7 linked regions of the Cricetulus griseus genome follow. The protein of the gene in region 5 binds, or shares a complex with, the protein of the main gene of each other region. Links are inferred from orthologs where the notes say so. Each region holds a gene or a part of one and is shown on either strand. Other genes may lie near its edges. The genes, in order: Rbmx2, Snip1, Gpkow, Rbm48, Eftud2, Sf3b2 and Snrpd3.

The links.
Region 1: Eftud2 (region 5) and Rbmx2 share a complex: the UniProt entries of both Homo sapiens proteins name them as parts of the minor spliceosome. The link is inferred for Cricetulus griseus from reciprocal best matches to the Homo sapiens genes EFTUD2 and RBMX2.
Region 2: Eftud2 (region 5) and Snip1 share a complex: the UniProt entries of both Homo sapiens proteins name them as parts of the minor spliceosome. The link is inferred for Cricetulus griseus from reciprocal best matches to the Homo sapiens genes EFTUD2 and SNIP1.
Region 3: Eftud2 (region 5) and Gpkow share a complex: the UniProt entries of both Homo sapiens proteins name them as parts of the minor spliceosome. The link is inferred for Cricetulus griseus from reciprocal best matches to the Homo sapiens genes EFTUD2 and GPKOW.
Region 4: Eftud2 (region 5) and Rbm48 share a complex: the UniProt entries of both Homo sapiens proteins name them as parts of the minor spliceosome. The link is inferred for Cricetulus griseus from reciprocal best matches to the Homo sapiens genes EFTUD2 and RBM48.
Region 6: Eftud2 (region 5) and Sf3b2 share a complex: the UniProt entries of both Homo sapiens proteins name them as parts of the minor spliceosome. The link is inferred for Cricetulus griseus from reciprocal best matches to the Homo sapiens genes EFTUD2 and SF3B2.
Region 7: Eftud2 (region 5) and Snrpd3 share a complex: the UniProt entries of both Homo sapiens proteins name them as parts of the minor spliceosome. The link is inferred for Cricetulus griseus from reciprocal best matches to the Homo sapiens genes EFTUD2 and SNRPD3.

The regions. Positions count from the first base shown.
Region 1 is NC_048604.1:20,792,335-20,796,304, reverse strand, and holds the start of Rbmx2 (RNA-binding motif protein, X-linked 2), read left to right. Parts: upstream 1-1,170; 5' UTR 1,171-1,209; coding exon 1,210-1,370; intron 1,371-1,538; coding exon 1,539-1,654; intron 1,655-3,925; coding exon 3,926-3,970. UniProt on the Homo sapiens protein: Involved in pre-mRNA splicing as component of the activated spliceosome. As a component of the minor spliceosome, involved in the splicing of U12-type introns in pre-mRNAs.
Region 2 is NC_048595.1:27,983,365-27,986,864, reverse strand, and holds part of Snip1 (smad nuclear-interacting protein 1), read left to right. Parts: intron 1-1,400; coding exon 1,401-1,984; intron 1,985-2,813; coding exon 2,814-3,078; 3' UTR 3,079-3,500. UniProt on the Homo sapiens protein: Required for pre-mRNA splicing as component of the spliceosome. As a component of the minor spliceosome, involved in the splicing of U12-type introns in pre-mRNAs. Down-regulates NF-kappa-B signaling by competing with RELA for CREBBP/EP300 binding.
Region 3 is NC_048604.1:114,172,703-114,175,040, reverse strand, and holds the end of Gpkow (G-patch domain and KOW motifs-containing protein), read right to left. Parts: intron 2,169-2,338; coding exon 2,083-2,168; intron 1,998-2,082; coding exon 1,863-1,997; 3' UTR 501-1,862; downstream 1-500. UniProt on the Homo sapiens protein: RNA-binding protein involved in pre-mRNA splicing. As a component of the minor spliceosome, involved in the splicing of U12-type introns in pre-mRNAs.
Region 4 is NW_023276806.1:221,961,466-221,964,965, reverse strand, and holds part of Rbm48 (RNA-binding protein 48), read left to right. Parts: intron 1-1,696; coding exon 1,697-1,842; intron 1,843-2,806; coding exon 2,807-3,375; intron 3,376-3,500. UniProt on the Homo sapiens protein: As a component of the minor spliceosome, involved in the splicing of U12-type introns in pre-mRNAs.
Region 5 is NC_048600.1:115,271,214-115,274,713, reverse strand, and holds part of Eftud2 (116 kDa U5 small nuclear ribonucleoprotein component), read right to left. Parts: intron 1,681-3,500; coding exon 1,545-1,680; intron 1-1,544. UniProt on the Homo sapiens protein: Required for pre-mRNA splicing as component of the spliceosome, including pre-catalytic, catalytic and post-catalytic spliceosomal complexes. Component of the U5 snRNP and the U4/U6-U5 tri-snRNP complex, a building block of the spliceosome.
Region 6 is NC_048596.1:54,019,650-54,023,886, forward strand, and holds the start of Sf3b2 (splicing factor 3B subunit 2), read left to right. Parts: upstream 1-1,437; 5' UTR 1,438-1,471; coding exon 1,472-1,604; intron 1,605-1,775; coding exon 1,776-1,822; intron 1,823-2,265; coding exon 2,266-2,343; intron 2,344-3,573; coding exon 3,574-3,813; intron 3,814-4,237. UniProt on the Homo sapiens protein: Component of the 17S U2 SnRNP complex of the spliceosome, a large ribonucleoprotein complex that removes introns from transcribed pre-mRNAs.
Region 7 is NW_023276806.1:263,063,379-263,067,437, reverse strand, and holds the start of Snrpd3 (small nuclear ribonucleoprotein Sm D3), read left to right. Parts: upstream 1-1,259; 5' UTR 1,260-1,413; intron 1,414-2,650; 5' UTR 2,651-2,666; coding exon 2,667-2,792; intron 2,793-4,059. Other genes in the region: protein GUCD1, read right to left, coding at 383-425. UniProt on the Homo sapiens protein: Plays a role in pre-mRNA splicing as a core component of the spliceosomal U1, U2, U4 and U5 small nuclear ribonucleoproteins (snRNPs), the building blocks of the spliceosome.

The sequences.
Region 1 (3,970 bases), on a different chromosome or scaffold from region 5:
GATATTTGCATCCTCATGTTTATTACTTCTTTATTCACTATAGTAAATAATTAGAATCAGCCTAACTGTCCATCAACATAAGAATAGGTAATGAAAATTTGGCATATATGAAAGGTGGCAAACTATTCAACTATCAAGAAAAAATAAAATCACAAAATTTGTAGAAAAATGGATGCGATTAGAGTGTATTAAGTGAGGTCATACAATCTCAGAAAAACTCTGCATGTTTCCCCCTTATATGCAGAATTTAGCTAACAATATACACATATACGTGAACAAATGTACATGTGAGTGCCATGTAACATGAAGAAAAAAGAACAAGAAAGGCTAAATATTAGGTGAGGATGGACTGAATGCAAGTAAAAGGGGATATAAATCAAATTCTTATAGCTCTAATGATATCATATTTTTTGGTTTTGTTGGTGGACAAGTGAATAAAAATATATTTGATAGTGACAGCCTAAAATCCAATGTGAAGTTCCACAGCTTCTGTTCTCAATGCTATTCTAACAGTATAGAAGTCCATTTGAGTCTTTGGGTCTGGTTAATTTCAGTGTTTAACTTGCAATCGTTTTTGAAATAATGAAGTTTAAAATAAAAAAAAAATAAAGTCAGTTAATCCAGTAGGGCGTGTTGATCACGAGACAGGGTTTCTCTGTAGCTTTGGAGCCTGTCCTGGCACTCGCTCTGGAGACCAGGCTGGTCTCGAACTCACGGAGATCCGCCTGCCTCTGCCTCCCGAGTGCTGGGATAAAAGGCGTGCGTCACCAAGGCCCGGCGTAAGACCACATTTCTTACGTAAATCTGTGGGTATTTAATTGGGTCTGTAGAGGCACACTGGTCCGTCTTTAATATTCGAGCGGGGAAACAATTCTCATAGCTATTTTCTTTACTTTTCTACTGTTAAATCCCAAACAGGGAGGCTTTGAGGGACTATTTTTGAGCAATTGCCATGGAGGGAAAGAACAGGGCTTTAGATTGAGAGAACAGGGAGTTTCGTCACCCTATCAGACACACTACTTCATTCAGAAAACGTTTAAAGCTAAATCAAACAAAAACTATCCAGAAGCTGAAGGTCCCTTAAAACCCCGGACCCCGCCCCTGGTCTACGTCACTAGGGAACTAGTTCCCTGACTAACTGACTGGAGAACTACTTCGCCACAGGAGCAAAGGGCACTAAGCGCGAGAAAGGCTTCCACGCTACTGCGCATGCGCCAAGTCTTAACGTGCCGGAGCGGAAGTTCCAGCGGAAGTTCCGCCTCGAGTTCGGCCGCCTCCAATCTGAGCTGGGTGATCGGTTGTGCCCGCCCTTCGTCGCCTCACCCGGAAGCTCATTTCTTGAGAGAAGAGCGCGAAGGCGCGAATATGAAGTAAGGGCTTCGTTTTTTTCGTCGGGAAGGGGGAGTGGGTTGCGGACAGTTGCCCACAAACGGTGACGGGTCCTCGCCGGGGCGGTGGGGCCTTCAGGCCTCGGGGCGGGAGAAGAAGGCAGGCTGGGAGGAAACGAACTTTTAACGAAGTCTTCTCCTCCCGCGCAGCCCTTTAACTAAGGTGAAGCTGATCAACGAACTGAATGAGCGAGAGGCTCAACTCGGGGTGGCGGAAAAGGTGTCTTGGCACTCGGAATACAAGGACAGCGCCTGGATCTTTCTTGGTGAGGGCCACAGTTTTCTCTAGCAGTGCCTTTCGGAGTCGCTGCGACCCACCCCCCTCCCGCTCCGGTTACTTAGAGCCCCTGCTGACCACGCTTGTCACCCACACAGCTTGTCTGCCCACAGTCCGTTTTTTATTCTCTTTTACTCGTCCTTTTCCAGTTATCTTTTCTGATAACCAGTGCTTTTTTTTTCTTTTTTTTTTTTTTTTTTTTTTTTTTTTTTGGTTTTTCGACACAGGGTTTCTCCCTGACTTTGGGGGCTATCCTGGAACTTGCTCTGGAGACCAGGTTGGTCTCGAACTCACAGAGACCCGCCTGCCTCTGCCTCCCGAGTGCTGGGATTAAAGGGGATTAAAGGTCTCGCGCCACCAGCGCCCGGCTTAGCCAGTGCTTCTTAGAATTGGTATTTACCATTCATTGCACTTAAAGGCTTTCCACTTAGCTGCCCAGAGACAGTTAACTCCACAGCCAACACATTACGAGGCCAAAGAAAGTGCGGTGCGGACAGGTGACTAGAGTTCTTTAAGGTTACATACTACATACTGCAGCACTATGAGATTAGTGGTCATTATTTTCATTTTTACTGTCTGCCCCTCCGCAAAACTATTTTCTCCTGTGATTGACTTTTGCTTCTAGTACTTTGCTGATTGTTGGGTTCCTGGACAGACAGTAGCCATCTGGAAAATATTTCGTGTGGACTCCTCACTCAAAATCAGCTTTACTCCTGCTTAAAATTTAGAATGTCATCTGAAAAGGTCGCGGTATCTAGGCGTGTTCATTAAGGGAAAGCTATACACCTGGTGAAAATACAGTCCACATTCCACTCTTGGTCCTGGGTGGATATGATGGGACATTTTAAGCAAACCTAACTGCCACATACTAGTGTGTCCCTTCCTTAAGACTTAATAAAGTTGGCCAGGAGTCACCTGTCAGGAAAGCTCATTCACCTGAAGACATGCTGAGGACATGGAAGGAAAATGATCCCCTTAGTGAAGCAATGTCCCGCAGGAGTTCCTCACTGCACTTATTACCTATTGCTGTTACATCTGTCTGCTGTTCTGACATCTAACTTATCCATCCCCTCCCTTTCTAGCCCTTCTTTGAATATTGTCTGAAATCCTGAGCATGCTTGCCCTAACACTCTGGACTTTTTCTTATTTCAAGTCTACAGGCTCTCCCGTTCCCTTGCAGCTGTTTCTTAGCCGCCATTTTTGAGCATGCCTGCCTGCATGGCCTTCTGATTAACTACGTATTTCTTCGTCTTGTCCATCTCCCTCCTCCCAGTAGCTGGTAAATTTTACAACTCACCTCCCCATCAGCTCTCTCTCAAATGCTAATAAAATGGATCTCAGGCTTCCTCAGTCTGTTTTAAAATTACTGACAAGACTAAGAGCCTACAAAGGGGAACTCTTAATATCTCTGGGAACAATATTACTATCCTTTGTTCACTTTATGTCACAACCAATAATCCTGCAGTTTGACTTTTGAAAGAGGCTATTTCACTAGATATTGTGTTAAGCATTTTATATGCACCGTTTTATTTTGTGTTTATAACATTCTTGTGAGGCAAATATACTGATAGCCCCTTTTTACACAGGAGGTAAAAAACATGGAAGGCAAATAATTTCCTGTGACTTGCCTAACAGTTTTCTTTAAAATTCTTAGTTTACACATAGGTGAGCATAACAATAGCATATTTGAACTCAATGTTTGTGAAATCTGAGTCTTGTGCAGGAAATTTTCTGTTTTATAGGAGTTTGGATGTGAGGACTGAATGAGATTAATTTGGAAGACAGGCGTTGGTGGCACATGCCTTTAATCCCAGCACTCGGGAGGCAGAGGCAGGTGAATCTCTGTGAGTTTGAGGCCAGCCTGGTCTCCAGAGCGAGTGGCAGGATGGGCTCCAAAACTACACAGAGAAACCCTCTCTCAAAAAACCAAAAAAAAAATTAATTTGGTAAGTGGTAACCCCTTTCCACTTAGACTTAATCACTTTTATTCCTGTTTTTGGAGACAATCTCATTTTGTAGTTCTGGCTGTCCTGGAACACACTCTGTAGACCAGGCTTGCCTAAAACTCACAGAGATCCAAGAGTTAATTGCTTTTCTGCTGGACTGTTGTCACTTTTCATCCTCTGTCATTGCATTAGACTGATTTTTGTGAGTTCAGGGCTTACTCACTCTGCACCTCCAGTATCTGGCCCAGTGCATAATATGCAGTAAACACTTGATTAATGTTTGCTGACCTGAACTGTGCTTTGTTTTCTTCTAGGAGGGCTTCCTTATGAACTGACAGAAGGAGACATCATCTGTGTGT
Region 2 (3,500 bases), on a different chromosome or scaffold from region 5:
CCTCTGGTTCCTAGCGAGACAGGTGGTCACTAACTGTTAGCTTCTTCTGGAGACTGCTGTTGAGGCTTTGCCTGTGGACTGGCTGATTACTGATTGATTTCTCATTGGTCTGTTTTTGTCCTTGTTTTTTTGAGACAGCATTTCTTTGTGTGATAGCCTTCCTGTGTAATAGCATGCTGGAACTCTGTAGATCAGACTGGCCTCAAACTCACAGAGGCCTGCCTGTCCCTACCCCCTGAATACTGGGGTCAAAAGCATGTGCCACCACCATCAGTCTCTCATTGATCTACTGGTGTGTTATGTGTATTGTAGTTTCTGCCAGGCTGATTTTTTTTTTTTAAAGATTTATTCATTTATTATGCATACAGTGTCCTGTCTGGATGTATGCCTGCAGGCCAGAAGAGGGCACCAGATCTTTTTACAGATGGTTGTGAGCCACTATGTGGTTGCTGGGAATCGAATTCAGGACCTCTGGTAGAGCAGTCAGTGCTCTTAACCTTTGAGCCATCTCTCCAGCCCCATGCCAGGCTGATTTTTAGTATGTAATTGTTGAAGCTGGAGCTTTTGAAATTATTTCAGTTTCTTTTTGGCTTATGAGGAAGTTGACTTTTTCCTTTACATAAATGTAATGGTTCTGTCCCCCCTCCCCCTCCTTCTCTCCCCCTCCCTCCCTTCCTCTCTTTTTCTCTCTGGAGGGAGGACAGGTTTTGTGTAGCCTTGGCTGGCTGTCTTGGAACTCACTCTGTAGACTAGGCTGGCCTCAAACTCAGAGATCCACCTGCCTTTGCCTCCCAGGTGCTGGGATTAATGGAGTGAACCACCACCACCACCTGGCTACTCTGTTCTGTTTTCTACACATGCTGCCCTGTGAGTTTGCTAGCAGGTGACTGATGGGAATATTATTTCTCCTTCCCTCTGTATCAGCCTCTTGTTTTGAGGGCTCTGGATGTGGGCTTGGGCTATCAGGCCTGTATTTGAGGAGCAGCATGGAGTATAGTCATAATGGCCCTCCAGGGGAACAGAACTACCACAGATGACACTCCAGGGGAATAGAACAGATAGTCTTGTGTAGATAGGAATTTGCTCTGAATATCATCAGCACTCAGGTTATAGATGTGTTGTTCATTTTGGGGGATTTAATTATTTTATGTGTGTGGGTGTTTTGCCTGCATGGATATCTACACCATATAGATGCAGTGCCCATGCTTACCACAAGAGAGCATTGGATCCCCTTGGAATGATAGTCACAGATTGTGAACAGTTATGTGGGTGCTAGGAACTGAACCTGGGTCCTGGAACAGCAGTCAGTGCTCTTAACTGCTGAGCCATCTCCCCAGCCCTGACAGCTTATTCACAGAGTAGAAGCCGTCTTTCCTTTACTGAATGCATCTTAATTTCAGGAACGTGAGGACCATCCTCGGAGAGGACGAGAAGATCGGCAGCACCGAGAGCCATCAGAACAGGAGCAGAGGAGAGCTCGTAACAGTGAGCGAGACCGGCACCGGGGCCATTCCCGCCAAAAGAGGAGCTCTGATGAGAGGCCTGTCAGTGGTCAGGGTCGGGACCGAGACAGCCAAATTCTGCAGGCCCAGGAAGAAGAAAGGGACTTTCATAATGCCAGGCGCCGGGAGCATCGTCAGCAGAATGAAGGTGCTGGCGGTGAAGCTCAGGAGGTGATCCCTCGCCCTGCTGGTAACAGAAGCAGAGAGGTGCCTGTTAAAGAAAAACCAAGCTTTGAACTTTCTGGGGCACTTCTTGAGGACACCAATACCTTCCGGGGTGTGGTTATTAAGTACAGTGAGCCCCCAGAAGCCCGGATCCCAAAAAAACGGTGGCGTCTGTACCCCTTTAAAAATGATGAGGTACTTCCCGTCATGTACATCCATCGGCAGAGTGCTTACCTTCTGGGCCGACATCGCCGCATCGCCGACATTCCCATCGACCATCCCTCCTGCTCAAAGCAGCACGCAGTCTTCCAGTATCGGTAGGTAGACCAGGAGGAGGACTGGAAAGGGAGCTGGGGTGAGTGTCTCATTGAGGACCCCTATGCTGTTTGTGGAGATGCAGAAGAGGCCATTACACCTTGTATCTAATAAGCTGGGCTGAAAGAGTCTAGCAGTCCTTGAGTAATCTCTTAACATTTGTGTGAGAATCTTGAACTTGATATCAGAAACCCAGATTAGCCGCTATCATTGCGGTGGTGCAGGCCTATAATCTCAGGTGTCAGAAGGCCAAGCAAGTATAAGCCAGAGTCAGAATGCCAGGTATATGCTGGCTGAATCTGCTGCTTAGATCATATTACCGTTACTATCTGATCCTCCACAGTCCCGTGGGAAAACAGGACCAGTGTTAACATCCTCATTTGACATCTGGGAAAACTGCAGCTCAGCACAGTTGCTGGTAGCAGTAATGATCTTCAGAGCAGAGCTCTGTCTCATATCCCGCCCTTGACACGAAAGTCTCATCTCATTCTAATGTTTTTCCCCATTTGGGCTGGTGCTAAAATAGCTGTACAGCATTGGAGGAAGTATATTTGTAGCCATAGCAAGAAGCCTTGAGTTCTACATTGGGATATCTCATGGCCCTCCATCCCCACCCACCACCCACAGCCAGCTCTACTTTTTCTCTTAGATATATTTAAACTGCTCCCAATTTCCCTGTCCAGGGCAGTGCTTCCCCTGTGACCTTCCAGAGGTTTTGTTTGAACCATGTTCGAGTCAGGTCAGTGACATCTAGATCTGTAGCAGAGAGCTGCAGAGTAGATGGTCCCTGGTAGGACTTGCTCACATGCTTCTCTCACTGGTCTCTTCTAGGCTTGTGGAGTACACTCGTGCTGACGGCACAGTTGGTCGGAGGGTGAAACCCTACATCATTGATCTGGGCTCAGGCAACGGGACCTTCCTAAACAACAAGCGTATTGAACCACAGAGGTACTATGAACTGAAGGAAAAAGACGTCCTTAAATTTGGGTTCAGTAGCAGAGAATATGTCTTGCTCCATGAGTCTTCAGACACATCTGAACTAGATAGAAAGGAAGACGAAGATGACGAGGAGGAGGAAATGGTGTCTGACAGCTAGCAACTGAGAAGCACCCACCCCCTCCCCCATGAGAATCCGTTCCTCCTGGAGGCCATGGGGTTGACTCCAGCGCCTCTTCTTGCCTTAAGTCTTTTCTCTGTTGCTGCCCAGCTTGTGTTGCAGTATGAGAACTCTCACTTCGTGTTTTGTTGAACTTGGCACAGCAGCCGCCTGCCTGTGGGCGCTTGTTTTCAGAACAATCTCACCAATTACAGCATGTTGAGTTTTGGTCAAAGTGTGTGGCTGTAGTGGGTGCCTTCAGAACTGCTGCACAGGAAACTTAAGCCCTTGGAAAGGGGATTGTGGCTTGTTCTCTTTGTACAGTTTCTTATTTATATAGTCGTTGAGCTTTGTGGACCAGGAGTTTTGTTTTGGTGACAAACCCTAGAGCAGAGAATCTCAGTAAGCTTTGGTTGTCACCA
Region 3 (2,338 bases), on a different chromosome or scaffold from region 5:
TACATCATATAAACAAACTCAAGGACAGACATCACATTAATTATTTCAGTCAATGCTGAAAACACATTTGACAAAGTTCAACATGTTTTTGTGATAAATGTTCTGGAGTCTGTAGGAATAGATGGAAAATACCTCAAAATAATAAAGGCTATATACAATAAACCAACATTATATTATAGCCAACATATATTAAATGGAGGTATACTGAGCATTTCCTCTAAAATCAGGAATGAGATAAGGAAAGATTCCCACTTGCCCCTATCTTATTTTATACAGTGTCAAAGTCTTTGCTATAGCAATTAGACAAGAGACACAAAAGGGATAATAGGAAGGAGAAAAGCCACACTCCCCTTATTTCTATTTTGAGACAGGCTCTTACTATGTAGCCCTGACTGACTTGGAACTTGCCCTGTAGACCAGGCTGGCCTTACACTCATGGAGATCTGCCTCTTGAGTGCTGGGATCAACAGTGTATGCTATCACACCCAGCACATTTACTGTTTGTTTTTTTAGTTTTTGAAGAAAGGGTCTTTTGATGAAGCTTAGACTGTCCTAGAACTCACGCGAATCTTCCTGTCTCGGCCTTTCAAGTGATAGATGACAGATATGGGCTACCACACTTGGTGACTCAAGTCTTTTTATATTTTTTCATTTTTGTCAGAGTTCAGTTTGCCTCTGGTTCCCTTTTTTCCTGGTGGTACTGTGGATGGAACACACAAGGCTTTACATATGGTAGACACACACTGAGTGCCATCTCTTTATCATCCTATTCTGGGATGCTCTGATTCTTTTCAGTGTGCAACAGGATAACAGACTAGGTAGTTTTACCTGTGGCCCAGACCTAAGTCAATTACCATTTACTGCATGAATGACTTAAGCTTCAAGGATGATTTAGAAGCAATTGTGTCTAAGGCTCTGACTTCTCTTGCTGATTATCTTGGGCCATTAAGCAGGGAAAAGGCTTAGAACACAGTCACCTAGGGCAAGCAAGAAATTGTCCTAGAGTTCACTGAGAGCAGTAGTCAGTTTCCCCTTACTCTGACAAACTACCCAGATATAATTAAAGTATAAGGAGGAAAAGTCTATTTTGGTTCACAGTTTTGGAGGTTTCTAAGTCATAACCTAAGTAATTTCTACTAGGCCTTTATCTTTCAAAGGTCAAAAATAGGTGCTGAATCCTGGGCAAGAATCCTTTAAGATACAGATATATGAGCTGGAGAGATGGCTCAGTGGTGAAGAGTGCTTGCTGCTCTTTCAAAGGACCCAAGTTTGGTTCCTAGCACCCATGTCTGGCAGCTTGCAATTGCCTGTAACTTCAGCTCCAGAGGACTTAACACTTTTGGTTAAAGTATTTGTACTCATAATCACACACACTCACACAGGCACACACATATATATAACTAAAAATAATACATTTAAAAAGAAAGATATGGGCCTTTGAAAGCCATTCAAGATCCAAACAGAAGCTGTTCTGAGATGTAGCACTGGAGATTCTATAGTGTTTGTTTGGGGGCAGATTTCACAGTTTCTATGCTCCACGAGTGAGCTCTGTATTGGATAGGCAATTTAACTTGTCTTGAACTCTGAGCAGGGAAATGAGACTAAGAAATGAAGGCGTTTCTACCTCAGTCATCTCAGTTCCCAACTAAATTCAAAGCTCACATATTGGTTTTGATTTCACCTTTCCACTTTTAAAAATGGTTTTTATTATACACTCTAAATTTTGGTAGACAGTTTGGTCTATCTACTCATGTCCCTGTCCTTGCAGCTCAAAGGAGGACAAAACAATTATCTTCTCCATGGCAGCTGCTGTAGATTGCTACACAATAGTGACAGCCTGGGTGACAGCAGTGGTCCACATGTCAGTTTTCATCTGAGTCACTGGGGCCCACGTACTGGCAGATAGCGTCATAGTGGAGCTCCACCACCTGATTGTCTCTCCCAAGTTGTACCAAACCCTGACTCTTCACACTGTCCCGACTCAGAAGTCGTCCCACCTGAGGAGAGATGGGGTAGAGAGTTAGCAAAGTCGGCCCAGATCCTCAGTGATCTCCACACTCATTCCCAGGCATAGGAACTCACCTTTCCAGTGTGTTTTCCCAGCACCACCATCACACGACGGCCCTCTCCCTTGGGAATCAGGGTTTCCAGCATGTCTTCTCTCACGCCTGCAGATGAGGGAGAGGGGAATGAGGTTCACAGAAAAGGCCAGTCTGGCTTGATCCTGTCAGGAGGGCCTTTGCTAATATTTATTAGAGATACTCCCACCCCCACCCCAAGACAGGGTTTCTCTGTGTAGCCTTGGCTGTCTTGGAACTCGCTCTATAGACCAGGCTGG
Region 4 (3,500 bases), on a different chromosome or scaffold from region 5:
GGTAATATCTCAATAAGAATTAATCATTATCTGTAGATAACAGAAGTACTTGATTACTTATTATAGTGTTGGTTCAGAATAGGTATTCAGTATCTCTTGAGTGAAAACAATTTATTTCTTTCTCTTTTATTTTTGTGTGTATGTGGTGTGGTTGTGTGAGCCTATTCACCTGTATGCATGTAGGACCCTGTGGATCATCAGATCTCCTGGAGCTGGAGTTATACAGACACTTGTGAGTTGCCATGCTGGGACTTGAACCTGGGTCTTCTGGAAGAGCAGTCAGTGCTCTTAACCCCTTAGCTATCTCTCCAGCCCCAGAAGGAGCAACAGTTCTTAATTTTGCATTGGTGAGCTGTTGTATTTTCACTGTTTCCACTTGTTCATGTGCGTGTGTACCTACGCGCACAGGAGACGGTTCTTTCCGACCATGTGGGCCCCAGAGGTTGAACTCAGGTCTTCAGTCTTAGTGGCAAAGGCCTTTACATGCTGAGCCATCTTACCAGCTTCAAGTTATATATTTGGCTCACAAGTTCTATTAACTCAAGCTAACTAGTAGGATCCTGAGTTATTCTTTTAAAAAAGAATAGGTAAGTGTGACTAGCTTAGCTGAATACCTATTGAGATTATGAGTAGAGAGAAAAGAATTTCTTGGGGTTGGAGATATGGCTGGGTGGTAAGATAGCTTGCAACTCTTTCAGAGAACGGGTTCAGTTCTCAAGCACCCTTGTCAGGTGGCCCACAACCACTTGTAACTCCAGCCCCACAGGATCCAGTGACTTCTGGTCTCTCTCTGTGGGCACATGCACACAAATGTACAGAACACATACATACAAGTAAATAGATAATAAATCTTTTTATTAAGAGTACTTTCTGAGCTGGGCATTGGTGGCACACGCCTTTAATCCCAGCACTCCAGAGGCAGAGGCAGGAGGATCTCTGTGAGTTCGAGGCCAGCCTGGTCTACAAGAGCTAGTTCCAGGACAGCCTCCAAAGCAATACAGAGAAACCCTGTCTCAAAAACAAAACAAACAAAAAATAGTACTTTCTGGATCAGTGGCATCATCCAAAACAAAGCATCTTACCCAGCCTCCTATCTCCCCCCCCCTACACACACACAGTTTGCTCCTTAAACCTATGGAATACCTATTAAGCTTTTATCTTAGGTAAATCTGGATTACAAAGCCATGGCTGCAGAGATGGCTCGGCAATTAAGAACATGGACTGCTTTTCCACAGGACCTGAGTTTGATTCCTAGTAACCAGGTCAGGTGTCGGTAAACTCTAGCTCCAGGACAGAGCCTCTACACATACTTACACATAATTGAAAGTAATAAAAATAATAATTTTCTGGGTGTAGTGGCACATATCTTTAATCCCAGTACTTGGGGAGGCAGAGAAAGAAAGAAAACAAGCTATGTATCTGGGCGATGGAGAGATGACACAGAAGCTAAGAGCACTTATCGCTGTTCCAGAGATCTCAAATTTGGAGTTTGGTTCCCATCCCTCATGTCAGGCGGTTCACCACTGCCTGTAACTCCAGTTCCAGGGCCTCCATCACCTCTGGCCTCCTTAGGCATCTGTACTCATGAGCATATACTTGAATGCAGAATACACGTGTATATAAGGCATAAATAAAAAGCCATGTAATTTATGTGTTTCTCTTTTGAGTTCTCTTTAAATTATCTAATTCCCTTTAGGGTAGCTAAGAAAAAGATGGATGAGCAGAGTTTCTTTGGTGGGTTACTTCATGTATGCTATGCTCCAGAATTTGAGACAGTTGAAGAAACTAGAAAAAAATTAGAAGAAAGAAAGGCTTACATTGCAAGAGCTACTAAAAACAAAGGTACGGAAAGTCTGTTGTAAACACTCCCTGTGTATGGGGCACTACTAGGGATGTGTGTCATTGTGGAGTCCCTGCTCAGTTATGGCCTTTGGTGACTTGAACCACAGGGTTCTGTGTAGCACTGTACAGTCTTGGCAAGAAAGACAGGGTGTTGGTTCCTGGAATATTTCCTATGGGATCTGAGAGATGGTTGAATTTTAGCAAATGTTATCAGAAGGGGAGTGGAGAGGATGGCAGGGTGAGTCAGGCTACACGTTTAAAGCTGGGGAAATAAATTGCCATCATGCGTTTAAGGAGCTGTAAGTCCTACAGGGTAACCAAAATACCAAGGTTTTAGTGAGAGAAATTAGGAAAGTAGACAGGAAGCAAATCATGAAGTGCCATGTGTCACCTGCTAAGCAATCCAGTGACTAACATGAAGGCAGCAAGAAGCAACTGTGATTTGCAAACCAGTTAGAAGTGCTACTCCTGGTGGGAGAACTCCAGTTTTTGATCAGCAGCTGGTTCAAATGTCCACATGTCCAACTGAGTTTCTCCTGACACAAGTAGGAACTAAACATGGTTTATCCATATAGTAGAATATTCTGAAACTGTAAAGGTTTCTACGCAATGGTATGGGAAACTCTCTAAGATTACAGTTAGTGGAAAATGTAAAAGAATAGATTTTTATTATCTTTTGACTAGGGAGACAAGGAGGCTCCAGGGGAACTGTGAGGCATTTTAGATAGATGAATAAGACAATACACTAAATAAGTAGGGAAAACAAGGAGAAGGGAAAGCTTGACACAGTACCCTTTCCTATCCTTTCAGAAAGCCCTTAAATCTTATCAGTGCCTTCCCTGCTCTGGAAGTATCATTTGGGGAGTAGAGTGTGGTTTTAGAATTACAAGATTCTGAATGATCAAAATGATTAATGAAACATTTGTTTATCTTTCCCTCAATGTCTAAAAATACAACTTTGAAGACTATTACATGACAAAGAAGAAACTGGTTCCAGAGCAAAAAGGAGCAAATGATTCTAGACAAGATTTCCATCCACATATGCCTGGATTTTGCACAACTTCTTTGAACACTTCTCCTGAGAACTCAAGTCCTTCTCTTCCTTATTCTTGTGACTTGCCTTTATGCTATTTTGCCTCTCAAAGCAACTTTTTACCTGGGGAACATATGGACAGAGCATCAAATTCCTGTAGTAGCGGTAGGAACCATAGTGAACTATCAGAGCATTGTAACTACAGTGCCTTTTCCCCAAAAGTACAGGTGAACACTTACAAGAATTCACTACCTTGCTCTAGTGGGCAAGAGGTCATTACTACCTCAGAGTCAGTCGGCAGATTTATGCCTAGGACAACACAGCTGCAGGAGAGGAAAAGAAGGAGAAACTGTGATCATGAACTTGGAATGTTTCCTGAAACAAACACAGGCAGTAACGAGGTTGTGATTGGACCTAAGTTACCAGGAATTCCCACAGTGGATCTGCAGGATGACTCCTTGAATACAACGGCAAATTTAATTCGGAGTAAACTTAAAGAGGTGAGGTAATTGTTTTTTAATTGAGATAATTTAGTTGTAGAGTCAGCAACTATTTAGGAAATTATTTGGAGGAACTAAAACATTGTAATTATTCATTTTACTTTTTGTTTTTGATGTATTTTCCT
Region 5 (3,500 bases):
GGAGAAACACTACACGTTTCTATGCAGTAAGTTACCGTTTCCCTAACAGGTTAATAAGCCACGAGACAGACTGCTCATTAGCACCCTGGGAAGACTAAAATTTTTTTCTTCTTCAGTCTCAAGACTGAACCTAGAGGTCTACAAATGAACCACAGTCCCAGTTCCAAGTGTATCTGCTTGATGGGTGCCCAGTATCTTTGGGCTGATGGCCAGTCCAGAGTTAGTATAATCTTTAAAGGTCCAGACACCTTTAATTGCCATTAGACGAAGAACCCATGGTTGCTAAGGACCCTTCCCTTGTCCCTCCACCACTCAAACTTTCTGAGATAGGGCGTCACTATACAACCCAGGCTGCACTGGAATTTCCCATGTAGACTTGATGGACCTTGAATTCATGAGATCTGCCTGCCTCTGCCTCCTGAATACTGGGCTTAGACATGCACCATCATGCCCTGTTTCACAGCTATTTTTTAAGACAGCACCTTGCCCTGTAAGTCAGGCTGCCTGAACAGTGCTATATAACACATGCTGGTCTTAAATTCATGACAATCTTACATCAGTCTGTTGAGTGCTGCGATTACAGGCACTTGTTCTTATTTACAGACAAAAATCAGTCACAGAAAAAATTAGTCTGGCCTGGTTCCCCCTAAAAGCTGCAGGCCAGAAGCAAAACTCAGGTTTTGCCAGGTGTGGTGGTGCACGTCTTTGATCCCAATACTTAGGCAGCAGAGGCAGGAGGATCTGTGAGTTCAAGGCCAGCCTGGTTTATATAGTGAGTTCCAAGACAGTCAGACCTGGATAGCAAGACCCCGTCTTCAAATGAATCCAAGCCCCTGTGAGGACAATATGAAATGTCCCCCACTGGCTCCAGGCAGGAGTACCGTCTGGGGAGGCTGCAGAACTGTGAGAATGTGGGCCTAGCAGCAGAGTCAGTTACAGCTGGCTCCGCTGCTAGCCCAGGCTGTCTCCTGGTCTGTGAAGAAGGAGGCCTGGCTACCCACTCTCATTGTGAGCCCTACGTGCCTTTCCCTCCACGACGATGCACCCTCCTAAAGCACAAGTCGCAATCAACTGTTTCTGCCAGGTGTTGTCATAGCGATGAAGAAAACCAATCATCTCCTGAGTGCTCCTCACCTGTGCCTTCCCTGCTACTCCACATCCCTGGCCATCCACCTTCCTGCCTGACCCCAGTAAATACTTCAGAGCCTAGAGCCTGCCACTTATCTCCGTCACCTGCAGGACCCTCCTGACGGGAGAAACCTAATTCCTTTTTCTAACACAAGAAACACCTAAAGAAAACAGCTGGAAAAGCCACCTCAGTTGGTTCACATGCCCTCACAACTCCTCTGCCCTGCAGGGAAGGGAGCTTCCCAGGTAAGCCATGGGAGGACACCTGAGGCTGTTCTTGTTTATTTTCTGAGACATCATGTAGCCCAAAGTGTCCTGTAAACAACTGATCTAACCACTGAGTTAGAGGACTGCCGGTGTGAACCACGATGCCCGGATGAGGAGAGTAATGTCCAGGGCTTTGAGATATTTATTACCTGTGAACTCGCCAAAGAACTTTTTGCAGACCAGCCTGAGCAGAGGGCGGATGTTCAGCTTCAGCTCCTCCTTGGTCAGGTGGATGCCAAGCTCGTCCAGGGTCCTTGGCAGGCTGGTATCCACATCACCCACCACCTGTGAGAGAAGAAGGCACTGGGTCAGCTCTGTAGTGACAGCCCTAGTGAGACATTACACACAGAGTGAGGGGAGGCCAAGCAGGCTTCTACAGGGAGGAGTGAGTAGACACTACCTAGTTTTCAGGAGTGAAGCTGACCTGGTTAAGTCTCCGAATGCCCCATAAAGTAAGCATTCAGCTTGATTACTGTCAGTGCTGCCCCCTAGTGTCTGACAAGCAGCATTGCGCCCACTCAAGAAATCACCCTTACCCCTCCCTACTTAAAGTCTGCCCAGATTTAGAGGCCCACACTGGAAGGAACCAAAAAAGGCCACCTGTCAGGACAGAGCCATGCTAAATCATCCTCGGCAGACTCAAGGTCTCTCTACAGAGGCAGATTCTGTAAATTTCTTTTATTAATCCATTCCAGCCTGACAAGAGATACTAAGTGGGTTTTTTTTTAGCACTGGTAAATTTTAGTCATTATTTTATTCTACTGCTGTGTTTTCCTCTTTTGTGGGTAGGAACGGCCACACACATTGTGTGCATGAGATCGTGTATATGTGTGTCCACTGGACGCAGCTCTAATTAAACACCTGCATATTTTATTATTGTCTTGGAAGAAAAGTCTGCATAAAAATTCCTATGATATTTTCACCTTTCCAGCTCGGTACTTCAGCACAAACTCACATAAACATGTTTCATTCTAAAGTCCAACTAGCCCTCCCCCTTCCTCCTTCCTCGTGTGGTCCTGAGGATCAACCACACAGGTGAGGCAAATGCGTCACAGTTACACCATGATTGACCTACGCAGGTTTCCAGTGACAGAGACATTTAATTGACTTCCAAGACCTGTTCTTACCTTCTGTTTTGAGGCAGGGTTAAACAATTAAGTATTCTTAACTGCTAGACCAGCCCCCTCCAGGACCCTTGTTTTTTAGGGGCAGGGTCTCAAGTAGTCAAGGCTAGCCTCTAACTCACTATGTGGTTAAGATAACCACGAACATCTGATCCTCGTGTGTCTACTTCCCAAGTGCTGGGATTGCAGGCCTATGCCACCATACCTAGTTTTCTGCAGTGTTAAGAATTGAACCCTGGGCTTTGTGTATGACAGACATGCGCTTTATTGCACTGAGCTAAATTCCAAGACTCCAAAACCTTTTAAAAATTGTATTTAATTTTACATGTATATAAAATGCATTGAGTGTGATGTATGTGTATGATGCATGCAGATGCCCATGGAGTCCCGGAAGAGAGCACCACATGCCCTGGAACTAAATTACAGGTGTTTGTGAGCTGCCCAACATGGGTGCTGGAAAGTGAACTAAGGTTCTCTACAAGGTCAACAAGTACACTTAAGCACTAAGTCATTTTTCCAGCTTTCCAAGAGGTTTTGAAGGTTTTGGAGACAGGGGTTCTCTGTGTAGCCCTAGTTGTCCTGAAACTTCCTACATGGATAAGGCTGGCCTTGAACTCAGAGATCTGCCTGCCTTGGCCTCCCGGGTTCTAGGATTAAAGGTGGGACACTTCTCAAAAGGTTGGTTTTTGTTGTTGAATTTTTTGAGTCAGGGTTTCTCTGTGTAGCTTTGTAGACCAGGCTGGCCTGGAACTCAAGAGAGCTTCCTGTCTCTGCTTCCCTAATGCTGGGATTAAAGGCATGTACCACCACCATCTGACAAAAAGTTTGTGTTTTGAGACAGGGTTTCTCTGTGTAGCCCTGGCTGTCCTGGAACTCACAAAGATCCGCCTGCCTCTGCCTCCTGAGTGCTGGAATTAAAGGTGTGTGCCATTGCTGCACACTGCCTGGCTCAAAGATTTTTAATAAACAGTTGATGACGGG
Region 6 (4,237 bases), on a different chromosome or scaffold from region 5:
TTGGGGACAGCTGGTGAAACGGAGGTGGCTAGGAAGAGAAAAGATCTGAAGTGTGTGGGTGAGAAATGAGACCATTTGTGTTCGTCTCCCTTATTCATCACACACAAGAACAAACAGGCTGCATCGAGAGTGGAGGAAGAACTAGAAGGGAGAAGTGAGGAGACAAAATGAATGGGTGGATGCTTGGCAGGCAAGGGTCATGGGGTCTCCACCCAAGAAAAGAGTCTGAGTGTTTTCTTCCTATAAGAAGATAAAATCCCAGGGATAGATCCCCCCCACACAATCATTTATTAGGTGGCTCCTGGATGCTAGATGCTTCATGATAGAAAAAGATCAAGTTCTTGCTCCTGTTTTGGGAATGGAGGTAGGAATAAAGGGTACGAAAGACTTAAAAATGAAACAGGACAGCTGGGCGCGGGTGGCACATGCCTTTGATCCCAGCTCTTGGAAGGCAGAGGCAGGCGGATCTCAAGTGAGTTCAAGGTCAGTCTGGTCTACAGAGCGAGTTCCAGGACAGACAGGACTGTTGCACAGAGAAACCCTGCCTCGAAAAAAAAACAAAAAAAACAAAAAGGGGCAATAGATTGGCTCACATTTGTAATACACTTACTTAAACAACGAAAACCTTGGGACTGGAGAGATGGCGTTAAGAGCACTTGTTGCTTTTGCAGAGGACCTGCAACCGTCTGTAACTCTAGTTCCAGGAGACACTCTTCTGGCCTCCACAGACATCAGGCATGCAAGTGGTGCACATTTCGTTTTGAAAACAAAAGGTGGAAAGTTGGGTGTGGTATGAAAGCTCCTAGAAAGGAGAGGAAACATTTGGCAGAGAAGGCATTTTCTTAAGCCTTTCTCGAATGTGGAAAAGGGATTTTGGTATCGCCCTTCCCCCAAGTCAGCAGCTGGAACTCAGCCCGGCGGGTCCGTTCCTCTACGGGCTCCGATCCCCTTTCAGCCCATTCAAGCACGCCTGGGCCGGGAGCGAGCAGGCAAACAATCGGACACTGTTTTATCAGAGGCATCGGCTCCAACCTCCCACTTGGCGGGCGCCGGAAAGCAGTCTCTATGAGCTCCTGGGTGGAATAAGCATCCAGGTACCTCATCACCGAGAGTGTCGGGTCAGAAGACTTAGTATGCGTTTGGGCAGGTGAGGAGAAGAAGAAAGGAACCAATGGGTGGAGGGCCGGGTCTTCTCAGGGCCCTAGCGGCGGATCTACCACAGGGTACGGGATGTTAAAACAAGCGTCCAGCCTCTAGGCGGTGCAACCGTAGACTACAACTCCCAGAAGGCCGTGCAGCCTTTGTTAGCGGCGAATCCTATCTCCCAGCGAAAGGCAGTGAGTGGGTGTCTGAATCAAGTGCTTTCCAATCACCGCGGGACGTGGCGGAGTGCTCTGCCGGAAGTTCCGGGAAGTAGGCCCGGTGGCTGATCCGAGCTTCCGTGTTGGTCGCGCGCCTTCTTGTGGCTAAGATGGCGGCGGAGCATCCAGAGCCTCCCAAAGGAGAATTGCAGTTGCCGCCGCCGCCACCTCCAGGCCACTATGGCGCCTGGGCTGCTCAGGAGCTTCAGGCCAAACTGGCGGAAATAGGAGCTCCGATCCAGGGTGAGGCTCCCGGGGCGGTCAAAGGGGGCTGCGTGGGCTTGCGGGGCAGTGGGACCTGGTTACCCAGGAGACTCACGGGCGGGGGGCGGAGACAGGCCTCTGGGGCCCGACCTGGCCAAGCCGGGCTGTTCCGGCTGGTGCTGACCCCGGATTCTGTGCTTGGTTCCGCAGGGAGTCGCGAGGAGCTGGTTGAGCGGCTGCAGACCTACACCCGCCAGGTGAGTTGTGGCAGGAGTTGAAGATTACTTTTCCTAGAGGCCTTTAAGATAGGCCACGGATCGGTCTTCGTTTCTTTTACATTTTTTTAAAAAGCTTTTAGGCGGGGTTTTACTGTGTACACCTGGTTGTCCTAGAACTCTCTCTCAGTAAACCAGGGTGGCCTGGAACTCAAGAGATCAGGCTGCTTCTGCCTGCCGAGTGCTCTGGGATTAAAGGTGTGCGCCTCCACGCCCGGCTGGGTCTTCGTTTCTTACGTACTTCATCGCGGCAAGTCGGGTCTTGACCGTTTTGTCAGTTTTTGCCTTTGCTTTATTGTAAAGGTTACAGCCCCAATCTCTGGCAAACGGGCATCGGGTGCACTTTGTTAAATAAATGGTGGAGGAGGCCGTGCAATGGAATAGTTCCCTCTTAGTCTGACACACAGTTCTCTTTTCTTTTGTAGACGGGCATTGTGCTGAATCGACCTGTTTTAAGGGGAGAAGATGGGGACAAAGCTGCTCCTCCTCCTATGTCAGCACAGGTAAGAGACTGTTTATCGGTCATTCTGTTCAGGATAACCTTTCTCCCATGCATTGCACTGGAGATAAGAATATAGTGAATTAAGGGTGGGGTCTGATGAGACAGAATTGGGGCCTTTTCACTTCTGGCTTTGTGCCGGTATTCATCAGTCCGCAATGTCTGCTCTTCTAAATTTGACCTGTCATTCAAGAGTCAACTTGAATACCTAGAATTCATACTTGGTTCTCTCCCAGTTGGATGTAGTCATGTGTTTTGTTATCAGGCATAGCTCCCAAAGTTATTCATTGACACTTTAAGGGGTAATGCTGTGATTTTTTTATTATATACCTCCTGCATTTAGTAATTCATTGACAGTCTGTGCCCTGGCACATTGGTTTCTATTTCTTTAAAAAAACATATTTAAAGTTTAGTGGTGGTGAACACCTTTAATCCCAGCACTTGGGAGGCAGAGGCAGGTGAATCTCTGAGTTTGAGGCCACCTTGGTCTACTGAGTGAGTTCCAGGACAGCCAGAACACAGAGAAATTGTATCTCAAAAATAGTATCTGTGTGTGTGTGTATATGTGTGTGTGTATATATGTGTGTATGTGAATATATACACATATTTATGCATATGAGTGTTTTGCCTGCGTGCATGTCTGTACACCATGTGCATGCAGCATTACAGGAGGCCATAAAGGGGCTTGGATCACCCTGGGGCTGGAGTTACAGAGGATTGTGAGCTGTTATCTGGATGCTGGGAATTGAACCCTGTGATTCAAGAGCAGTTCTTAACTGCTGGTCCAGTCTCTCCAGTACTGGTTCCTATTTGTTTAAGTTCCTTTGGAATCCAGTATTTGAGTGTCTTCCTCTAAACTAGTGGCTTTGGCCTGGGTGGGTGGGGTGTGTGTGTGTGTGTGTGTGTGTGTGTGTGTGTGTGTGTGTGTGTGTGTGTGTGTGTGTGTGTGTGTGTGTGTTTGTGTTTTGTTAAGTGCCTGTATAGACTTTAGAGGTGTTCTTGTATTTTCTTAAATTGAATGCAATTTCAGAGGACCCAATAGCTTTGTTTGATCAGTGTTCTAAAGTTAGCCTTTTCTTCTCTTGATTCTGCTATGGTGCATTTTCTTGAGTTCTGCATCACTAGACTTTGAATGCCTGGCTCTTTTGCTAGTTCCCTTTAGAACTTTAGCTAGAAAATGCTTCTAAAGTGAATAAATGCTTTCTAGTTCATAGCTATATATTTTTTTCCACAGCTGTCTGGGATTCCTATGCCGCCACCACCTATGGGACTCCCCCCTCTACAACCTCCTCCTCCACCTCCACCACCTCCACCAGGCCTTGGCCTTGGCTTTCCTATGGCTCACCCACCAAATTTGGGTCCCCCACCTCCTCTCCGAGTCGGTGAGCCTGTGGCATTATCAGAAGAGGAACGGCTGAAGCTGGCACAACAGCAGGCAGCTTTGCTGATGCAGCAAGAGGAACGTGCCAAACAGGTAGGACAGGTGGAAACCTTACCTAGGTCACCTTAGGTCCCTGATGGGGAAATGGAACCCCAGAAAGCTAGACCCGGAGGCTGTGCCTTTTAGGAAGGTCTTGGTTGAAGACCAAGACCTAGGTAACAGCTGGCAGAGAATCCTAGAAGCAAGAATTTTGGCAGATTGGCCTGGTTGTATTGTTGCTGGCATGAGTTTTTTTTTTTTTAAGCAAGGAAATCATTCATTGAAGGAACATAGCTCTTAGAGCAGCAGAAGAGGGTAATATTTCTCTCCCTAACTTTTATGTTTTTTTTTTTTTTTTTTTGAGACAGGGTTTCTCTGTGTAGCTTTGGAGCCTATTGTCACTTGCTCCGGAGACCAGGCTGGCCTCGAACTCACAGAGATCCGCCTGCCTCTGCCTCCCGAGTGCTGGGATTAAAGG
Region 7 (4,059 bases), on a different chromosome or scaffold from region 5:
AAAAAAAAAGGCCCTTCCCTTTGCTGAGGGATCTCAGGCCGTTCTTTCCCCCTTCACAGCCCCAGGCCTTCCACAGTTCCCCCTAGGAACAGCATCACGCAACGGGGTTCAAGCAGGACCATTCGTTTCTGGGGAAGGCAGTGCCTTTGCCCCCTCGGACTTTTGCACTTGACTGCTCTCAGAACTCCCCGAGAAACAACCAGAAGCGGAGGACGGGAGACGAGAAGGAATATCCATCCACCTAGCTAAGGTCCACTGGAAGCTCCAGTCTGGGCTGAGGCCGCCTGCGGCCCAAGGTCGCGCGGCCAGACCCTGCCCAGCTCCAGGGCGGAGTCCCCCTCGGTTTCCCCGGTGAGGGCAAGGCCCTCTGAGAGGCACTGACCGGGCTCGAGCGGCTGCCCCGCTGCCTCTGCCTCCGTCCTCATGACCCGGGTGGCGCAGGGCGCCCATGGCCCCGGCCTGGAGCTGATCGCAGCTGCGACTTGTGCTGGGCAGCGAGCGCGGCCAGTGTGGGGAGAGTTCCGCCGCCGCCTCTCCTCCTCCTCCTCCTCCTCCTCCCGCCGCCGCCGCCACCGCCGCCCGCCGCCGCCGCCGCCTCCGCGGTTCAGAGCCGGGTGGGCGGGGGCTAGGCCGCCTCAAGCCCCGCCTCGTCCCTGCCAGGTCCCCGGCCTGGAGACCCGCCCCTCCCCTAGGCCACGCCTCCTCGCCCACCCACTTCTCTCCCATAAAGAGCGACCCGCAGGGCCCGCCTTCTGCGGAAGCCCCGCCCCTCCCGGGCCCCGCCCCCAGGCCCTTCCATAGCGACGTTGGCTCCTCCCAAACCCCCTCCGCTCGGCTTGCTCCTTTGCAGCCCCGGGTGTTAGCGCCGGCCCCTCGCAGTGCCTGCCTCATCGAAACGCCCCGGGAATCCTCCTCTGCCTCCCTTTCGGTCTTAGCCACACGATGAAAAATGCCAGTTTCCCACGCTCGGTGCGCCGCTTACCTGATGGCGACCAGATCCAAAGCTTAGATTCCTAGTCCAAGCCTCACTTCCTGTGGCACCACAGCAATTTTGGGGCTCCAGCCTAGCTCCCGCCCAATCCGTCCCTGGAGTACTTTGTAAGTGGGGGGGGGGTCTCCATGTTCCTTTTGGGGCTCGAGGACGGATGCTTCCGGCGGCCCCCCGGGTCCTCTCCAGGGCCGGAACGATAATGCCAGAGCCGTCGTTTTCCGAGCCGGCGGAGTTAAGGAGGAAGCATACGTCAGAGCGCTCTCGCCGCTGGGGAAAGGAAGAGGAGGGGCCCTGCGCGCGGTATCCTGGGAACGCGTGGTATTCTGGGTACCCCGGGCCCGCCATTCCCTCGCTTCACGCCTTCGCCGTGTAACGTTTGTGCCAGGGCCGAAAGGGAGCCGGTGAGGAGAGGCGGAGAACCGGTAAGAGGAGGCCTAGGCGTCCCCGGAGGGTTAGGGGCAGGAAGGGAGCCTGCGGAGGAGCTCAGCGGGGCACTAATGGCGGGCGGGAAGCCTGGGCCGATCCAAACACCGTCTCACCCGCGCTTGGAGCAGCTCCTCGTTTACGCCTGTCTGCGCGTTCTGTGCCTTTCCGGCTCGCCGATTTTCGGAGCTCGCCCGCAGTCGTTTCTCACGAAATACCCCCTTTCCCTGTGTGCCCTCCTTTTCAGCGTCCTCTGCATCCCTGCTCCCCTCGGATTCCGGCGCTGGCCCTCCCCTGCCTTCCACGACTGCTGCACGAGTCTTAGCGAGTCGCTGTGCTGCAGAAGGGCCATGTTCGAGCTATCCTGCAGATGCTGCTATTATTCCTTTTTGTTTTCTACTGAGCCTTTGGCAATGACCCTTTTGTGTCCCCCCCCCTCCACCGTTTTCAGCATAAAACTCACACTCCTTAAGTTGAAAGCCGTGGTTCCTCACCAAGAGAGACAGCGCCCAGCATCCTTATAGCCTTCTCATGGACATAGGTGGGAACGCTCATCACAGTTGCGCTTAGCCTCCGTCTTTTACTGAGGCTTAAATCGAGCGTCGACCCTGATGGTGCTCCTGTGAGCATTTCCTGTCACTTTGTGAACGCCTTGCTATCTTATCAGGGTCTATGTCTGCTGAGCACTTGGAATATTACTAGTGTGACTGGGAGGGGAGGGGCTTTTTAATTTATATTTCAGTTGAATAGCTACAGGTAAGCAGTGATTGCTTTTGAGGTCCATATCATAGTTCTTGGGTGACTATAAAGGGTCATGTGTTTGGGAATAGATAAGAGGCACTCTTCATTCCCACCAGCCTCTTCTGTCCAGCTTGCTTGCCATCCTTCCCAGCTCGAAGGCAGTGTGTCCTTGCCATGGTGGTTCCTTCAAACCAAGAGTCAGACTCCTTCCACAGAAAATGCAGCTTAGGCCGGGCGGTGGTGGTGGCTCACACCTTTAATCCCAGCACTCGTGAGGCAGAGGCAGGCGGATCTCTGTGAGTTTGAGGCCATCCTGGTCTACAAGAGCTAGTTCCAGGACAGCCTCCAAAGCCATAGAGAAACGCTGTCTCAGAATAAAAAAAAAAAAAGAAAGAAAGAAAGAAAGAAAATGCAGCTCTGACATATTTGCAAAGGGTATGGTATGCCAGTCCTTCTTAAGCTCTGAAAGACAGCTGTTGTCTCTCTCTTCCACAGGAACACTCCTGCCAAGATGTCTATCGGTGTGCCGATTAAAGTCTTGCACGAGGCTGAGGGCCACATCGTAACTTGTGAGACCAACACTGGCGAGGTGTATCGAGGGAAGCTCATTGAAGCAGAGGACAACATGAACTGCCAGGTACCTTGCTTTGCACCTGTGAAGGAACTGTGGGTGAAAGGTAATATCTCTGACTGCTCCAGGTCTAATACACATACCTTGGAGTTGTCATAGAGAGTTCAGATGGCTGTGTGTTCACAGTGGCCAGCTCAGTGCTTTGCGTGCAATAACTGGTGCCTGTTAACTGTATTCCACATGAGAAAAGTAAAGGTTGGAGAGGGAAAGTACATTATTTAGAATCACACCTGTGGGTCAGGTGGCCTGACTATTGCCTTTTAGGGTTTGCATTAGTTATTTCCTGTGGCTGTGATAACACACCATTAGAAGGGGTTTTTTTAGGCTTGCAATTACAAAGGAATGAGTCCATCGTGGAGGGGAGAAATGGTAATAGCAGGACGCTGAGTGCTTACATCTTCAATAGAAAGCTTGAAGTAATGAGAGCTACCTGGAAGTGTTGGAGGGTATTAATCTGAAAGCCTGCCTCCAGTGACATTCTTCCTTCAGCAAGGCTGCATCCCCTCATCCCACCCCCCCCAAAACAACCCACCAACACATGGGGGCCAAGTGTGCAAATGCCTGCAACTGTGGAGGATACTTTTCATTTAAACTACTGTAATTGTGCTGCTTAGTTTTTTTGTCAACTTGGTGCAAGTGAGAGTCACCTTAGAAAGGGGAACCTCAGTTGTGAAAATGCCTATCCTATAGGCAATTCTGTGGGGCATTTACTTGATTAGTGATTGATGGGTAAGTGCCCAGCTTATTAAGGGCTAAGCCACTTCTAGGCAGTTGTTTCTGGAATAAGAAAGGAAGCTGAAGGCTGAGCATGGTGGTGCACACGTTTAATCCCAAGACTAGGAGGCAGGGGCAGGTGGATTTCTGAGTTCCAGGAGAGCCAGAACTGTTTCACAGAGAAGCCCTGTCTCGATAAACAAAACAAAAAAGATGTATTTGTCTGTTTTAGGGCATTTAGTTTTGGGAGTAGAATGAAAGAATTTGGATAGTGACTATTAATATATTTAGTATGCTGCTCTAATTAATGAAACTTACCGAGGTGGGCTTCAAACAGCCCAACTATAACAGGAATTTGTCTGACTAGATTATGGTATTCTCAGAAGTGCAGCCCATGTGATGCAAAGACACAAATCTTAGTACATTATCAGGTTAAATCTTGGAAAGCAGTGTGTCTTGTGTGTGAGCTTTGTGCTGCCCTTGCCCCCTGTTCCCTCCAGAATCGGTGATAACAGATGAATGCTCACTTTGATTTACTTTAGAGTGTGTAAACTGAGGT